Linked DNA regions of Xenopus tropicalis. The protein of the gene in region 2 binds, or shares a complex with, the protein of the main gene of each other region. Links are inferred from orthologs where the notes say so. Each region holds a gene or a part of one and is shown on either strand. Other genes may lie near its edges.

What was found. Proteins that work in one complex are often made in the same cells at the same time.
Region 1: bdp1 (region 2) and brf2 share a complex: the UniProt entries of both Homo sapiens proteins name them as parts of the TFIIIB complex. The link is inferred for Xenopus tropicalis from reciprocal best matches to the Homo sapiens genes BDP1 and BRF2.

Annotation. Positions count from the first base shown.
Region 1 is NC_030679.2:118,998,937-119,009,788, reverse strand, and holds the start of brf2 (transcription factor IIIB 50 kDa subunit), read right to left. Parts: upstream 5,727-10,852; 5' UTR 5,627-5,726; coding exon 5,473-5,626; intron 2,149-5,472; coding exon 2,089-2,148; intron 278-2,088; coding exon 1-277. UniProt on the Homo sapiens protein: General activator of RNA polymerase III transcription. Factor exclusively required for RNA polymerase III transcription of genes with promoter elements upstream of the initiation sites.
Region 2 is NC_030677.2:182,614,086-182,618,155, reverse strand, and holds the start of bdp1 (transcription factor TFIIIB component B'' homolog), read right to left. Parts: upstream 2,801-4,070; 5' UTR 2,464-2,800; coding exon 2,186-2,463; intron 357-2,185; coding exon 1-356. UniProt on the Homo sapiens protein: General activator of RNA polymerase III transcription. Requires for transcription from all three types of polymerase III promoters. Requires for transcription of genes with internal promoter elements and with promoter elements upstream of the initiation site.

The sequences.
Region 1 (10,852 bases), on a different chromosome or scaffold from region 2:
ACATCCAGTTTCAGTACTTGCACTATGCTCAGGAAAATGCTCGCAAACAGTTCTTTCTTGGCATAAACCAAAGAGCAAATAGTAGCCATAGTGATAGGCCATTGGTGCTGCCTGCAAGTGATGTACACACAGCAGCCCACAATTATCTCCTTCTTCTCAATGGAGACAGAGTGGTACAGGGGATGCTTATAAGCTTGTTCATAGTAGGATACTGCTGTATCTGAAAAGCCGTCAGGTAGTCTTAGGACTCTGCAGATATTCCGCACACGTACAATTCCTGTGGGACAAAAGACAAGAGTAGCTCCCAAGAAGTACAATATTGGATCACATACAGTTCTGTATCTACTGTTCAAAATAGCATCAAGGTACATATGAATTAACTCATAATATATCCCAGCTTCTCTATGACCACTTGCTGCTCTTTAGATGATTAACAAGTTATAAATTATAGTATAGAACAGTTTATCTGCCAAATGAGAGGACCTTTACCTAATGTGGCGACTAACATGCTGAGCCAAATCAGAACAATCCATATCATATTAGATCAGTGCTGTCCAACTTCTGTGGTACTGAGGGCCGGAATTTTTCCGGCCTACATGGAGGAGGGCCGATAATGGAAACCAATTTTGACCACTCCCCTTTTTAAACCACACCCACTTGAAACCATACCCATGTTATCACATGATCATACCCAAAAAACCTGCCATACTCTGCCTTCCCTACCCTGCCTGTGTGTGCCATACTCTGCCTGCCCTACCTGTGTGTGCCCTGCCCTGCCTGTGTGTGCCCTGCCCTGCCTGTGTGTGCCCTACCCTGCCTGTGTGTGCCCTACCCTGCCTGTGTGTGCCCTACCCTGCCTGTGTGTGCCCTACCCTGCCTGTGTGTGCCCTACCCTGCCTGTGTGTGCCCTACCCTGCCTGTGTGTGCCCTACCCTACCTGTGTGTGCCATACTCTGCCTATGTGTGCCATACTCTTGACTGCCCTATGGTGCCTGTGTGTAGTACCACCTCAGTATATGTTCTTTTTATAGTGTGCAGGGTTTATTTGTGGGTTTCTACTGCTCCTCCTGAGGTGTGAACAATGTGGGTGATTACAGTCTGAGCCTGAGGTGTGAACAATGCAGGGATTAAAAGGTGTGAACAACACAGGGGATTACATTATTAAACAATACAGGGAAATTACAGCGTGAATTTGAGGTGTGAACGACGCAGGGGGCCAGTTAATCACAGTACTGATACCATTTAAAGTTTACACTAAGGTAAGACATCAAAGCAGCCAGACAGGTGGGGGGCCACACAGAGGGGGGTCGCGGGCCGCATGCCAGTTGGACAGCACTGCATTAGATCATAAATCATCATCATGAGATCACGGCATCAACGTGTTTGTATGGGATTTTCACTCGCCCAATAGATATCTGGCTAAAAACTGGGCAGATATTGGTTGGGCATGCCGCCTGGAGGGCCCCATACACAGGCCAGTAAGCTGCCAACTGTCATAAGGTTTTATCAGCTCATGCATAACCAATCATGCTAAGGAAATTTGTATCAATTAGTGTATAACAAACCAGTTCCTGCACATTTCAAACATGCAGAACATTTTGACTGGACACTTCTGCTACAGAACCAGAATGTTAGGTTGTGAAAGCACACAGATAAACAAAATGATACCCCCAATAATGCATTATGCAGAGGCAGCAGGTATGATAAATGGGCAAAGTGCTCCTGAATGTTTTAAATCAATGAGATGCTTAGCTCTGTCCTTATGGAATAACTTGCTGTCCTTGCATGAGAATGTAATGTACTGTGGTTTCTGACATGAATGCACACCCATGCTGTGTAAAAAGTGGAATAAAACATTATCGGTGATGTTGCTCATAGCAGCCAATCAGATGCTTTGCTTTGCTAACTGTTGAAATCTAATTGCTGATTGGTTGCCTTGGGCAACATCACCGGTAATGCTTCACTCCACTTTTTACACAAGAAGTATGTGTTGGCTCTACAACAAAGGTGCTTCCTACAGACAGAGGCCTTCATGCCCAGAAGTGCCTCATGCAGAATATTGCCTGTACATCTCCAGCAAACACTTACCCCGGAGCTTACTAACGGTCATCGAGTCATTCTCTCCGGTGCTGTCGGCAAATCTCACAGCTGTAAACAAAAACAAGAAAGGGTTATGGATCCAAGGGCATTCAGAACTACAGGCACAGAAAGTAAGAACAAAAACCAGAATGCGGGCTGACATTTATAGTAAGAACAGGCAGCCAAGTTAACACAAACTTATTTGGTCAATAACACACAGGAACGAATCAGCATGATCTGATCATTTGGCTGTTGTACCAATGATCACTAAGGTGATGCATTAGGAAAGGATTACATCAATTTGCTCAATTTGATTTTATAACCTGCCCAATTGATATTTAGCCCATTTTCATATACATATTGGTTGGGTGGGATATTGGGAGGACCCCATACACATGCCAGTAAGCTGCCAACCTGGGTCTGGAGTGACTGAATCAGAAGCTTATCTCAGTCTGCTTATGGTAGAGCAAAAGTATTTGCCAGGATCAGGTTAAAGAACCTTGGGGCCGATTCACTAAAGTGCGAAATAACGTGCGCTATTTATAGCGTGCGGTAAAAATTTTATCGCGTCTTAATTTTCGCACGATTCACTATAAGCATACTTGCGCTATTTTACGCGCGATATTGCATGCGTTATTTAACTCGCGAAGACTATTTCAATGCGGTATTTGCCGGTACATGCGCTAAATAACGCTCGCATTTAGTCGCCAGATATAAATAGTAGCTTAGAAATAGTATATAAACTGTCGCCGCATATAAATAGTAGATGCTTATAAATAGTAGCCACTAGTGATGAGCAAATGTGTTCTGGTTATCTTTGGTGAAAAATTAGCAAATCTTTCGAAAGATCCACGAAACGGCAAAAATGTTGTGCGGGCAAAAAAATTGTTGCCCGCGACTATTATATTTTTTGACGCTTTTGTAAATTTTTGGACGTGCGGTGAATTTTTGCGTGGCGAATTTTTTTATGCGTTTTGCCATTGGCAGATTGTTTTGCGAAACGCATGAAAAAATTTGCCGCAGAAAAATTCGCTGCACGTCCAAAAATTCGCTGCGAATCCATGCCTGGCGAAACATTTAATCACTTGTAGCCGCATATAAATAGTCGTGCAACTGAACGCACGCCATGTTAGCCATACACGCCAATACTTGCGGAAAATTACTGTATTAAAAATGACCATTTCCCTGCAAACTGGCGGCTGCGTCACTCTAGGGGAAACACATACCGTATATACTCGAGTATAAGCCGATCCGAATATAAGCCGAGGTACCTAATTTTACCTAAGAAAACTGGAAAAACTTATTGACTCGAGTATAAGCCTAGGGTGGCAAATGCAGCAGCTACTGCTAAGTTTTAACAATCAAAATAAATACCCATAAAATTACATTAATTGAGGCATCAGTGGGGTATATGTTTTTCAATATTTATTTCAAAGAAAAACAGTAAACTAGCTCTGTAAGCGGAGAAGAGGGTCAACAAAAACAATATGAGTACTACCCCACACTCATTGCACATTGGCAAACTGGCAGCAGACCCGGTCCCGGAGGAGATGTAAGGGGAAATAAGTATTGCTAGTGGGAGCCTAGGCCAGGGCACTGGAGGGTCTGGTTGCGGGTGGCCTAATTTGCACACAAAGGAGAGAGGGTGCTAGTCTAGAGGGACCCATGGCACCTGGCTCGAGTATAAGCCGAGGGTGACTTTTTTCAGCACATTTTGGGTGCTGAAAAACTAGGCTTATACTCGAGTATATACAGTACTTGAATAAATAACACTGCAAAGTCCATATTTTATTGCCAAAAACTCATTTACTGTACTTTTCTATAATTATTATACCTAGTAATGTATTTTGTGCGACTAAATATTTACCGCTATAGTACTGTATATTTTGGCAACTAAATATTTACCGCTACAGTACTGTATATTTTGGCGACTAAATATTTACCGCTACAGTACTGTATATTTTGGCGACTAAATATTTACCGCTATAGTACTGTATATTAGTAGCAAAATTCCATACATGCCAAGACTTTAGTAAAATTGAGTAAAAAGACACATACTTGAATAAATAACACTGCTAAGTCCATATTTTATTGCCAAAAACTCATTTACTGTACTTTTCTATAATTGTAGAAACCTGTAGTAGGTGTTAATTTTCGCATAGCCTAATGCGATATTTAGCGCGCCTAAGTGATTGTGAATCATGCGATCGCATTCTTTTCAGCGCGGAAATTAACGCATGTGTTAAGACTAGCGCATGCTATATGGCGACTTAACGCACGCGATAGTAGTATGGTGAATTGCGCGCTAATTATTGCGTCTAATTTAACTCAAAAAAGTGCGCGATAAGATTTATCGCACTTTAGTGAATCAACCCCCTTGTATCAGTTAGTGAACTCGTTTCTACACAATTTCATCCTCATCTGATGGTTTTTCTGATCTACTTGATAGACATCTGGCCAATTTTCGGGCAAATGCCCATTAGGCAAATAAACATATGATCTGCAATAACAAATGATTTAGGCAAGGGTGGGTGCCCAGGCTAGCATTACTGCCATTCTGTGCTTGAATGTAGCCAGGGAACTATCTGCAAGGAGTTTCTATGTTTGCCTTATATTTGTGTGGGTTTCCTTTGGTTTCCTCCCACATGCAAAAAACATTTAGGCAGGTTAATAGACTCTGATTATAAGTTTTTTTTGCAGTCCCTGGTACAGTACCACCTGAGGAAAGGGCCTTGCATGGCTTTATTGCAAAAATGCCACTGGTGGGAACTAGCAGGCCAGTTCCTGAAACCCACAAAACATGAAGGCAAGTATTACTCTAAGGGTGAAGACACACGGAGCTACTAGTAGCAGCTACTTGTCGTGGCTACTAAAATAGACAATGCTGATCATTTACTGATAACTGTCTCTACGTGTTTTATCAGAGGCAATTCTCAGCATTGTCTATGGCAGGGGATTTTCTGGCATTTAGTAGCTGCTACTAGTTGCTCTGTGTCTTCACCCTAAGACTAAATCCACCCTCAGTGACACCATTCTACAAATTTTAAAGCCTCATAGAGATGTTTTTAGTAGAAAGGCCAGGCAGAAAGAACTAAGGCACAGAATGCCTAGCTGGGCAAAACAAGGCCTATATATGGAAAGAGGGCTGAATGCAGAGGTACCCCAGCTGTGCAATTTCTCCCCACACTTAGATTGTAAGCTTTATGCAGCAGGGTCTTCCTTCTTACAATGTCTTTTTTTTACAGTGTGTATATGGCACATAATCTCTCTCTCATGAACAACTGGAAAGTGGTAGCAAAGTTCTGCTTGTGGCACACAACTCCCAGAATGCACGGCAAGAGCAGCAGCACCGGAAGCCATGCACACAGCTGAGACTCACGCTGAGCCACACACCTTGCAAGTGACTCTCCTCCGCAGCGGTGGTGGTGATTAGGCCTTCACTCAGAATACAGCCGCAGTCGGCACACACCACCTGATCCTGGGAATAGTGCGCATCCTCCACTATATCTGAGGAGCCGCAATCAGGACATTGCTTCGCGCCCGACATTTTCGCTAACTGTGCATCCAAACAAGCGCGGAACCATAAGACTTCTGTCACTATAGGTACGCCCCGCTTTTCTTCCTACCTCCCTATTAGCTGATAGAGCGGTTTCACATTCTATGACATCACTTCCCATGTCGGGGAAGAGGCGGGATAAGACTTGGCTGAACCGGAAGTAAGGTGATATTAGTATTGTTATCGTCCTTTTTCTAGTAATTAATTAAAATAAAATCGGAAGAGACTGAGACTGTGCCTGACTGCGCCTATTTATTCTACATTAGAGCTGAGTAATATCACTGGAGATTAATTTGTGTCACAATCTGTCAGACTGAGCGTGTAGATTAAACACAGACAGATGCTAAAAATGTAAACACACTGTGCCAACACTGGGGGGCGCTGATGCTATAACTATTTTTTTGTACATCTGTTGTTTGTGTAGCGCCAAAACATTAACCTAGCGTTTATAGAGGGTCATACACTTTGCAGAACGTAGAGTGCAAAGTGCGGGAAAAAAAAAAAGAAAAGACCGCAGTCTGCGCTCCCCCTGCCCATTCCCTAACTCGACATTCAACATAGGGAGGAGTAGGCCAACTATGCCTCCTTACTAGTGATGAGCAAAAATTTTTCCATAGATTATAATGGCTGCAAAAATGTTGCTTGGTAAGAAGAATGCTGATTGACTTCAATGCGTTCTGCAAATTTTTACAAATCTTTTGCAAAATGGGACAGGTTTGCTCATTATTACCCCTGACGCTGCACTTTGCTCCTCATATAATCTGGCACAGGGAGCAGAGTGCAGCTTTCCCTGGGGCACAAGTGGTTGTTAGATGAGCACTACGGGGTGTACACTTGTGTCATTGGGAAATTTAGACTTACTTATATCAGGGATCCCCAACCTTTCTTACTCTTGAGCCACAGTCAAATGTAAAAAGACTTGGAGAGCAACACAAGCACCATAAAAGTTCATGGAGGAGCCAAATAAGGGCTAAGATTGGCTATTAGGCAGCCTCTATGCACACTATCAGCTTACAGGGGGCTTTATTTGGTAGTAAATCTTGTTTTTATTCAGCCAAAACTTGCACCCAAGGAATTTAAAAATAACTACCTGTATGTTTTTGGAGGAAAACCACACAGGCACAGGGAGAACATACACACTGCTTACAGTCAGGAATCAAACTCAGGACCCCAGTACTGCAAGGCTCCCCAGGAGCCCTGGAATATATAGTTTAGAAAGATGGTGGTGCTGTGCTAGGTATGGAAGATTTCTAGACACAGTCATATCTATATATAGGCACCCAAGGGCCTGTGACTAGGGGGGCAGCCGTGGGGACCACTCTCAGGTGCCTATATAATCAATAAATATTAAAAATTGAAAAAGTAAAAATCCTCAGGTGCACTCATGCGTGATGTCTTTTCTGCCGTCTCGTAGGGTGGCCCCGGACCTAAACACTTCCCTACACTAGGTAGCACTTCTTTTCCATGGGTGTAACTATAAAAGAAACAGACCTTGCAGTCGTGGGGGTGGGACAGGGGGGCCTGAATCATGGTGTTTGCTTCCTCTATAGTTCTTTGATATCCCCCCTCCCCAACCACTCTCCTCCCTAGCAAGGGGGGCGCATAGGGGTTGCTGTCAGCGCCTTCGCAGATTTTTTTGCCAAAGCCCCTTTTATTGTGCTTTAAGAGAATATGATTTTTTAGTAGAACAGTTTGTGTGGGGGATTCCTGGGTAAGTACTAGCCCACACTGGAACTAAATGCCTGTTAAATAGCACTTGTCCCTCCAGGTTACAGCAATAAACAATTGACCCTTGTTTTAAGAATCACTGGCACCTAGGTTATTACAGATGTGTTAGTTATATAAAGAAATGCCTTCATACCACAAGGGAGGGCCCATCTGAAAGAGCGAGTGGTGGGTAACCTGGCCTTAGCTGGGAGTAGCAGGGGACAGAGTAAATTCACAAATACAGATAGATAAAATATAAAATTAATCACATTAAAATACAAATTATATCTAAATGGGTGGGTACCTTAGATCTAGGGGCTGCTAGTTACAAAGGCTAGGGCTTTCGCATTTGCAAAGTAGAGTTGGCCAAGTCCCAGTTTAAAAACCTAATATCTTAAAAACTAGAAAAAAACATTAATAATGTAAGTTGCAAAAGTGTTTGGAGGGTTTATAATTCACCACACAGAATGAAAAAAACAAATACTGTACATCTGGTCCGTACAATAGGCAGCAAGCTGATTATAATGGAGAAAGTGCCGTACAGAGGTGCAGGTATAAGTACATTTGTGTTATTGCTGCACTGTGTGCATAGGGAAGGGGCATAGGGAAGGGGAATGGGGAACTGGTGCATGTGATGTGGAATAAGGAAGCAGCTCAGTTTACAGCAGCACTGACTCACCAGTTAGGGGATTATTAGAGATATCTCCAGTGAATGTAAATGTGACCCAACAGATATCACTTACTGCATGAATTGGCACAAATAGTAACGGTCTGTATAGGCTGGGCTGCCTGGCGTATGGCACAGTGTGGATTCTCTGTACGGTTCAGCACTTCAGCTGGAGGGAGAAGGCAAAGTGGTGCTTTGCTCTATTATGTCCCTATTTCATTCTTTTGGGAAAGTTCTGGCAAACATTCGGCATAGCAAACATTTCCAAGCACTTCCCAGACAGCACCCCAATACCCCATGAACTGTATTCAAAGGAAATATAAACCCCCCAAACAAATTCATGTCCAATTGCAGCAACTGCTCTTTTGAGCACTTTTCCAATTTATATATTTTTTAAGTCTTGTGATGTTGCTTTGGCAAGTTAATTAGTGAGTCGTCATCTAAGGTTTCTCTGTTCAGCTCTAAGCAAAGTATCATTACAAGGATTCCCTTCTATCACTAACTTAAAGAGGTTGTTCAACTTTGAGTTAACTTTTAGTATGACGTAGAGAGCACTATTCTGAGACAATTTTCAAATGGTCTTCATTTTCTATTATCATATATAAAAAAAATGGAAAAGTTGCTTTGAATTGGCCATTCTATAACATAAGTTAACTTAAAGGGGTTGTTTACTTTTAAGCTAACTTTTAGTATGTTTTTTGTCTAATTCTAAGCAACTTTTCAATTGGTTTTCCTTTTTTTATAGTTTTTTTTTATTTATTTGCCTCTTTCCAGCTTTCAAATGGGGGTCACTGATCCCAGAAGCCAAAAAACTATTGCTGCGAGGCTACAATTTTGTTGTTGTTAATATTTATTACTTACCCTCCCCCATTAATATTTCAGTCTCTCATTCAAATCACAACTGCTCTGACCCACCCACAAAACAAAAACTGCCCCAGTTACGTGCCATACACTATGTAGCAATAGCAAGACTCTGCTGCAAGTAACCATGAAACTATTTTGGTACAGTTTACATAATACTGATAATCTTGAGTTCCAAACGCCAGCTTGTCCTTTCATATCCAGTTGGCAGAAGCCTCAGAGTGGTCGAGCATTGTCCATTGAGCAAAGTAAGTGCAGAATAAGGGATACCTTTTATTGGTTAACTGAGATTGTTTTGGAATCTTCTGCAGGCCTGGCACAATGGGCAGCCCATAAAGCTAGAGAGCGACCCATAGCAAGGTGTGGGTAGAATTGATAGCCATGTAAATCAGTTGCTCAGTGTGCACCCAGCATGGCAGAACTCCATATCTGCTCCAAACACACTCTAGTGAGGACACATGAAGGTCCTTATTGTATTCATGTGATGTTTTCATGGCAAGGGTTTACATTATGGGCTATAAACCAATCTGGCAGCAGCTGCAGTTTTATCTCTGTTTCACATACAGATAGGCCGTCCCACTGCTGTTATTGTTACACCTTATTCACAGTATGAACAAGTGAAGCTCATTGCAACTTTCAAATGAAGCCAATTTGCTGCTTACATGGAAGTATTCCAGTGAGTCCATATTAGAGGAATCTAAGGACACCAGGCTTCAGTGCATTAATAATAATGACTACATAAGAGAACCCCCTGTTATTATCTCTTAAGGAGCTCTGTGGATTGCTGTACACAGCTATTTATTTATACATTTAAATGCCCTTTTCCTGACAATAAATACCTTTAGGCTGTACATGTGAGAACAATTATGTAGGTAACTGATGACTCCTTGTGTAGGGAAGCTCTGAACCTCACATATGTATAGAGCTGCATGTATAACACCCATAATCACATAAATACATGGAGTGCTTTATAAACGTGACAGCTTGCAGAGTCTCATTTACTTATTACTTGTTTATTACAAAGGAGGGGAAGGAGGAGGTTGGGCAGTGCCCTAGGTGTTGGCTACAAAAGCTTTTTGGGAAGTCTGCATGAACAGAAGATTGAGCGCAGGACTGTATAGAGTACTTACCAAGGCTTCAGTGCCAAATAACTTACCACAGTTTGTGTATGTGTATTAGGGCCACTTTCAGCAATGGATGGGAAAGCAAAGGCTGCATATTGCAGGACACCATAAAGGATGGAAGATTTCCATATTTTCAAGGGCACCTGGGCAGACATTTAGGCTAGCTCTATTGGGCAGGGCTTTGAACTCGTGTATTAGTCAGTAGCTGTATGTTGAACATATGCACCCATCTACTGCTATATCAACACAACAGGCGCCAAATTATTGCCCATTTAGATAAATAATCAATATTAAACTCTGTTGCTAGAATCCACCTGCACAAGAGGGAAGCTTTTCATCCACCCCTACAATCCCTACCATGGCTGCCTGTGAAGCATAGGATAGCACTTCTGCTAACATTCTAAGCCTTCACTCCTCACTACATTTTGTCACTTGTCTCCCCATACAGTTCTCAGAGCCTCCCACTTTATACACCATCCACCCCCACTGCCATCTCTCACCTTAAACCTTTCTACCTTACAGCTCCTTACCTTGCCATTCTATCCCTGCATCTCCCCATAAGAAACACTTGTTCAATCTCCAAGAAAAAAAACTCCGATTTTACATTTTGGAGCAATAGAACATTATTTAGTGTAGGTCTGGCACTTAATGGCCAATGCCTAAACCTTGTGCACTTTTGCCCTCCAATTTGTGTATGTATGTCATCCACCTACTTAGACTGTAAGCTCTATGGGACAGCGACCTCTTCCTACTGAGTCTCTTACCACATGGCACCTCATCTCTGTGGATTTGTACTTATTTATTGCACTAAAGTGCTTGCCCTCCCTGTGTGTACCTTTGTACATATCCTTGTGGCCC
Region 2 (4,070 bases):
TTACTTCAGGTTGTTTAAGAACAGGTTTCTTAAAAGGCGTAAACTGTGGAACCTGGGGCACTGGAGTTCTCTTTTCAGGCAACGAAGCTTGGGAAATATTAGGGGGAGTGGGTATTTTGAAAGAGCTCTCTAACTTGGCTTTCTCTGGAGTAGCGGCTTCAGCCACACCGATACTAGGTACGGCTATAGGAATGTCTCCTTGAGAAGCTTTAAGTGGTAATGTGGTAACGGCCGAAGGAATGGAGACCCTTGGTTTTCCAATATTAGGCAAAGTAGCAAATCTCTTTCTACGCTGGAGAGGTGTAGATGTTGCACATGCCTGAACTTCAGCACCAGTTGGGACAGCATGTTTGCACCTGACAGAACAAATGGTATAGTATAAGAAGAAATAACAAAAAAGCAGCCAATTTAATGCATAGTCATATGTGAAAAAAGGTTAATTTTCCTTACGGCACCACAGAGTGCATTACAATTGATTGTAGACACAATCACCATATATTTTTACCTATAATGCAGCACTTTTTCCCGATACAACTGTGGCATCAATGTGCCAAAAATGGTGCAATAACTCTTGCATTGTGGTGGGAATCAGACATAATCGAGCTAAAAATTGTTTTAAGTCTGGTTGGTGTCATTTCCAGTGTTTGGTTTGTGCACCATATTTCTGATGCAGGCCCCTGTGGGAGCCCTGGAGTTACTGCCTGCTGCTTCAGGGTCCCCCAAACATCGGTATCTACTATTTTTGGATTCGGCCAAAATTTTCAACTTCCAATTCGGATTCCGTTTGGCCAGGAACATGGATTCGGTCCATCCCTCTTAGGCAGGAAGGACTGCATGGCAACTCTAAAGAAGTGCAAGGAGTGCCTTATGGCACAAATGCCTTCAGCTAGTTTAGATGTTTGGCAATATCCAGTAGTCCAAAAATTTCTTTAGACTTGTATTAAAATAATGGTATCACCCAAAGAAGTCTATGGTGCCACTAGGCAGGCCTTGGAGGGCCACATCTTTTAAACATGCACCCTGCAGAAAAAAAACTCTGCTCTATTTTACAACTTTCATTTATTTTATCTTAGATTAGAAATTATGACTTAATAACTCATCATGGGCACAGAACTTTTTTCAATATGAACACTGGTACTTTGACCCTCTATTTGAGGGGAATGCTTTCCCCCTGGCACTAGCACTAAAAGCTGTTCTTAGTTGCAGTAAATAGTTGTAAAAAGATTCACACACACATCTGTCTACTCTCCCAGGGATTATGGCACAAAGCATGAATTTAGTAGCCTATAATAAAGCTTGCTCACAGCAGTTATTCTGCTCTCCTCAATCCTAAACCTTTTTAACACTGGGATTCGGCGAGTGCCCACTCTACATGTGAGTTCACAAAGCTTACAGTAATGATTATTCCCTGAGCAAAAAACAAGGGCTACAACTAATGTTCTAGAGCAGGGATCCCCAACCTTTTTTACTAGTGAGCCACATATCACAGTTCTTCGGGGATGCAAAATAAGGGCTGTCATTGGCTTGTGATTGGCTATTTAGCGACTAATCTCCCCATAATGACATCCCACCGGCTAGAATGTAAGTCACCGGTGGGATGGCATACGCGGCGCTGCGATTTGCAAAAATCAGCAAAGTTGCCTTGAGAGGAAACTTCGGCGATTTACATTCTAGCCTGTGGAATGGCATTAGGGGGATAGTAGTTGCCCGTGACTAATCTCCCCGTCTGTCCCGGCCCTAAGGGCTCTGGCACACGGGGGAGATTAATCTCCCCGAGTTGCCATGACCCGCCATCCCGCCGGCGAACATGTAAGTCGCTGGCGGGATGGCACACGCGGGGCGAGTCTTTTTCGGCGATTTGCGCGAAATCGCGCCGCCGCGTCTGTCATCCCGCCAGCGACTTACATGTTCGCCGGTGGGATGGCAGGGGTAGGCAACTCGGGGAGATTAGTCGCCCGCGAACAGGGAGTTTTGTCGCGGGCGACTAATCTCCCCCATGTGCCAGAGCCCTAAAGCAACCTGCCATTGCTGAAAGACTGCATCACAACTATGTGATGATTAAAAAAAAAACAACTTCAAACACAGTAAAATTCCTTTACATCAAACTTATTTTCCCTTTATCTAACAGCGCCCCCTATAGGGGGGACAGATTATAGATAGACAGTGCCAATCAGCTGTCACTCACAGGCCTGTTCCCTTCTCCTCCTCTTCCTGGACAAACGAGTCCCCTCTGTCAGCAGCAGCCGATACCGTTGTCGCTCCCTCTGTCTCAGCCACATCAGACACCGCCACTCCGTTATCCTTCTCGACGGTTTCATGGTTCGGGCATGGGGGTTCCTGAGAGGCCCTGTTGGGATCGGTAGCAATGCCACCACTGCCGGGTGTTGTACCGGGGCTAGGGCCAGGGCCGCGGCCGCCCGGCTTAACATTGGGTTTGAAACTTAACCGCGCTCTTCGGATCATGGTATGCGGTGTCGCAATCAGCTGCGTCTCCACTTCCTCATCCCTGGGAAGCGCTTACACTAGCCCCTTCCTTAGCGCTCACACTAGCCCCTCCCTTAGCGCTCACACTAGCCCCTCCCTTAGCGCTCACACTAGCCCCTCCCTTAGCGCTCACACTAGCCCCTTCCTTAGCGCTCACACTAGCCCCTCCCTTAGCGCTCACACTAGCCCCTTCCTTAGCGCTCACACTAGCCCTTTCCTCAGCGCTCACGCTGCCAGCACAGTCACGTGGGTTGGAGAGATTCCACAATGACATCATCCAGCGGCGACCTGTACTGGCGTCATAGGCTGGAGCAGAGACTGGCAAAATGTCGCCTGGCGGATATTTACTAGGCAAGTGGTAACAGCTAAAATAACTTACTATGAGCGGTGGGTTGTGTCTAGTTCCAAGTTGCTAATGGAACAGAGCAGTTTTACAGACTGGGAAATAGATCTTTCAGTGTAGTTGGGCTAAAATCTAGTGGGAAAAGGAACAGTAATAGAAACTAGGCAATTTCTTCAGACATATCTAGTTCCTAGTTGGTAATAGAACAGAGCAGCTTTACAGATTAGGACATTGATCTTTCAGTATAGTTTTGCTAACATCTAGTGGGAAAAGGAACAGTAATAGAAACTAGACGATATGGTCAGATATATCTAGTGTCAAGTTGGTAATGGAACAGTGTACCTTTATATATAAGGAAATAGACTTTTTTTTATATAGTTGGACTATATTCAAGTTGGAAAATGAATAATCATAGGAATTATAAAATATAGTGCATGTAGGATAGATCCTACTTGTTTTTACGGAATTTTTCGTTGTGCGTCAAAAAGGACGTGGTCACGTAAAATCGGGCATGGTCACATCAACAAAAAGGCAGGTTTGCAGCAAAAAAGCACGGGCGACAAAAAAATAGACACAGGCGACATAAAATAGACGTGCGTGTCCCTGTGTATGCCATACTCTGTCTTCCCTACCCTGCCTGTATATGCCATACTCTGTCTTCCCTACCCTGCCTGTGTGTGCCATACTCTGCCTGCCCTATGCTGCCTGTGTGTGCCTTACTCTGCCTGCCCTATGCTGCCTGTGTATGCCATACCCTGTCTGCGCTACCCTGCCTGTGTATGCCATACTCTGTCTTCCCTACCCTGCCTGTATATGCCATACTCTGTCTTCCCTACCCTGCCTGTGTGTGTCATACTCTGTCTTCCCTACCCTGCCTGTATATGCCATACTCTGTCTTCCCTACCCTGCCTGTGTGTGCCATACTCTGCCTGCCCTACCCTGCCTGTGTGTGCCATACTCTGCCTGCCCTACCCTGCCTGTGTGTGCCATACTCTGCCTGTCCTATGCTGCCTGTGTGTGCCATACTCTGCCTGCCCTATGCTGTCTGTGTGTATGGCACACATAGACAGCATAGAGTGACACAATACTGGCACTGCTCCTACAGTCTGCACAATAACTATAAAATAAAAAAAACTTTTTAATTGCAGTACCACCTCAGTATACAGTATGTTCTTTTTAGAGTGTGAAGGGATTATTTGTGGGTTTCTACTGCTCCTACAGTCTGAGGTGTGAACAGGTGAAC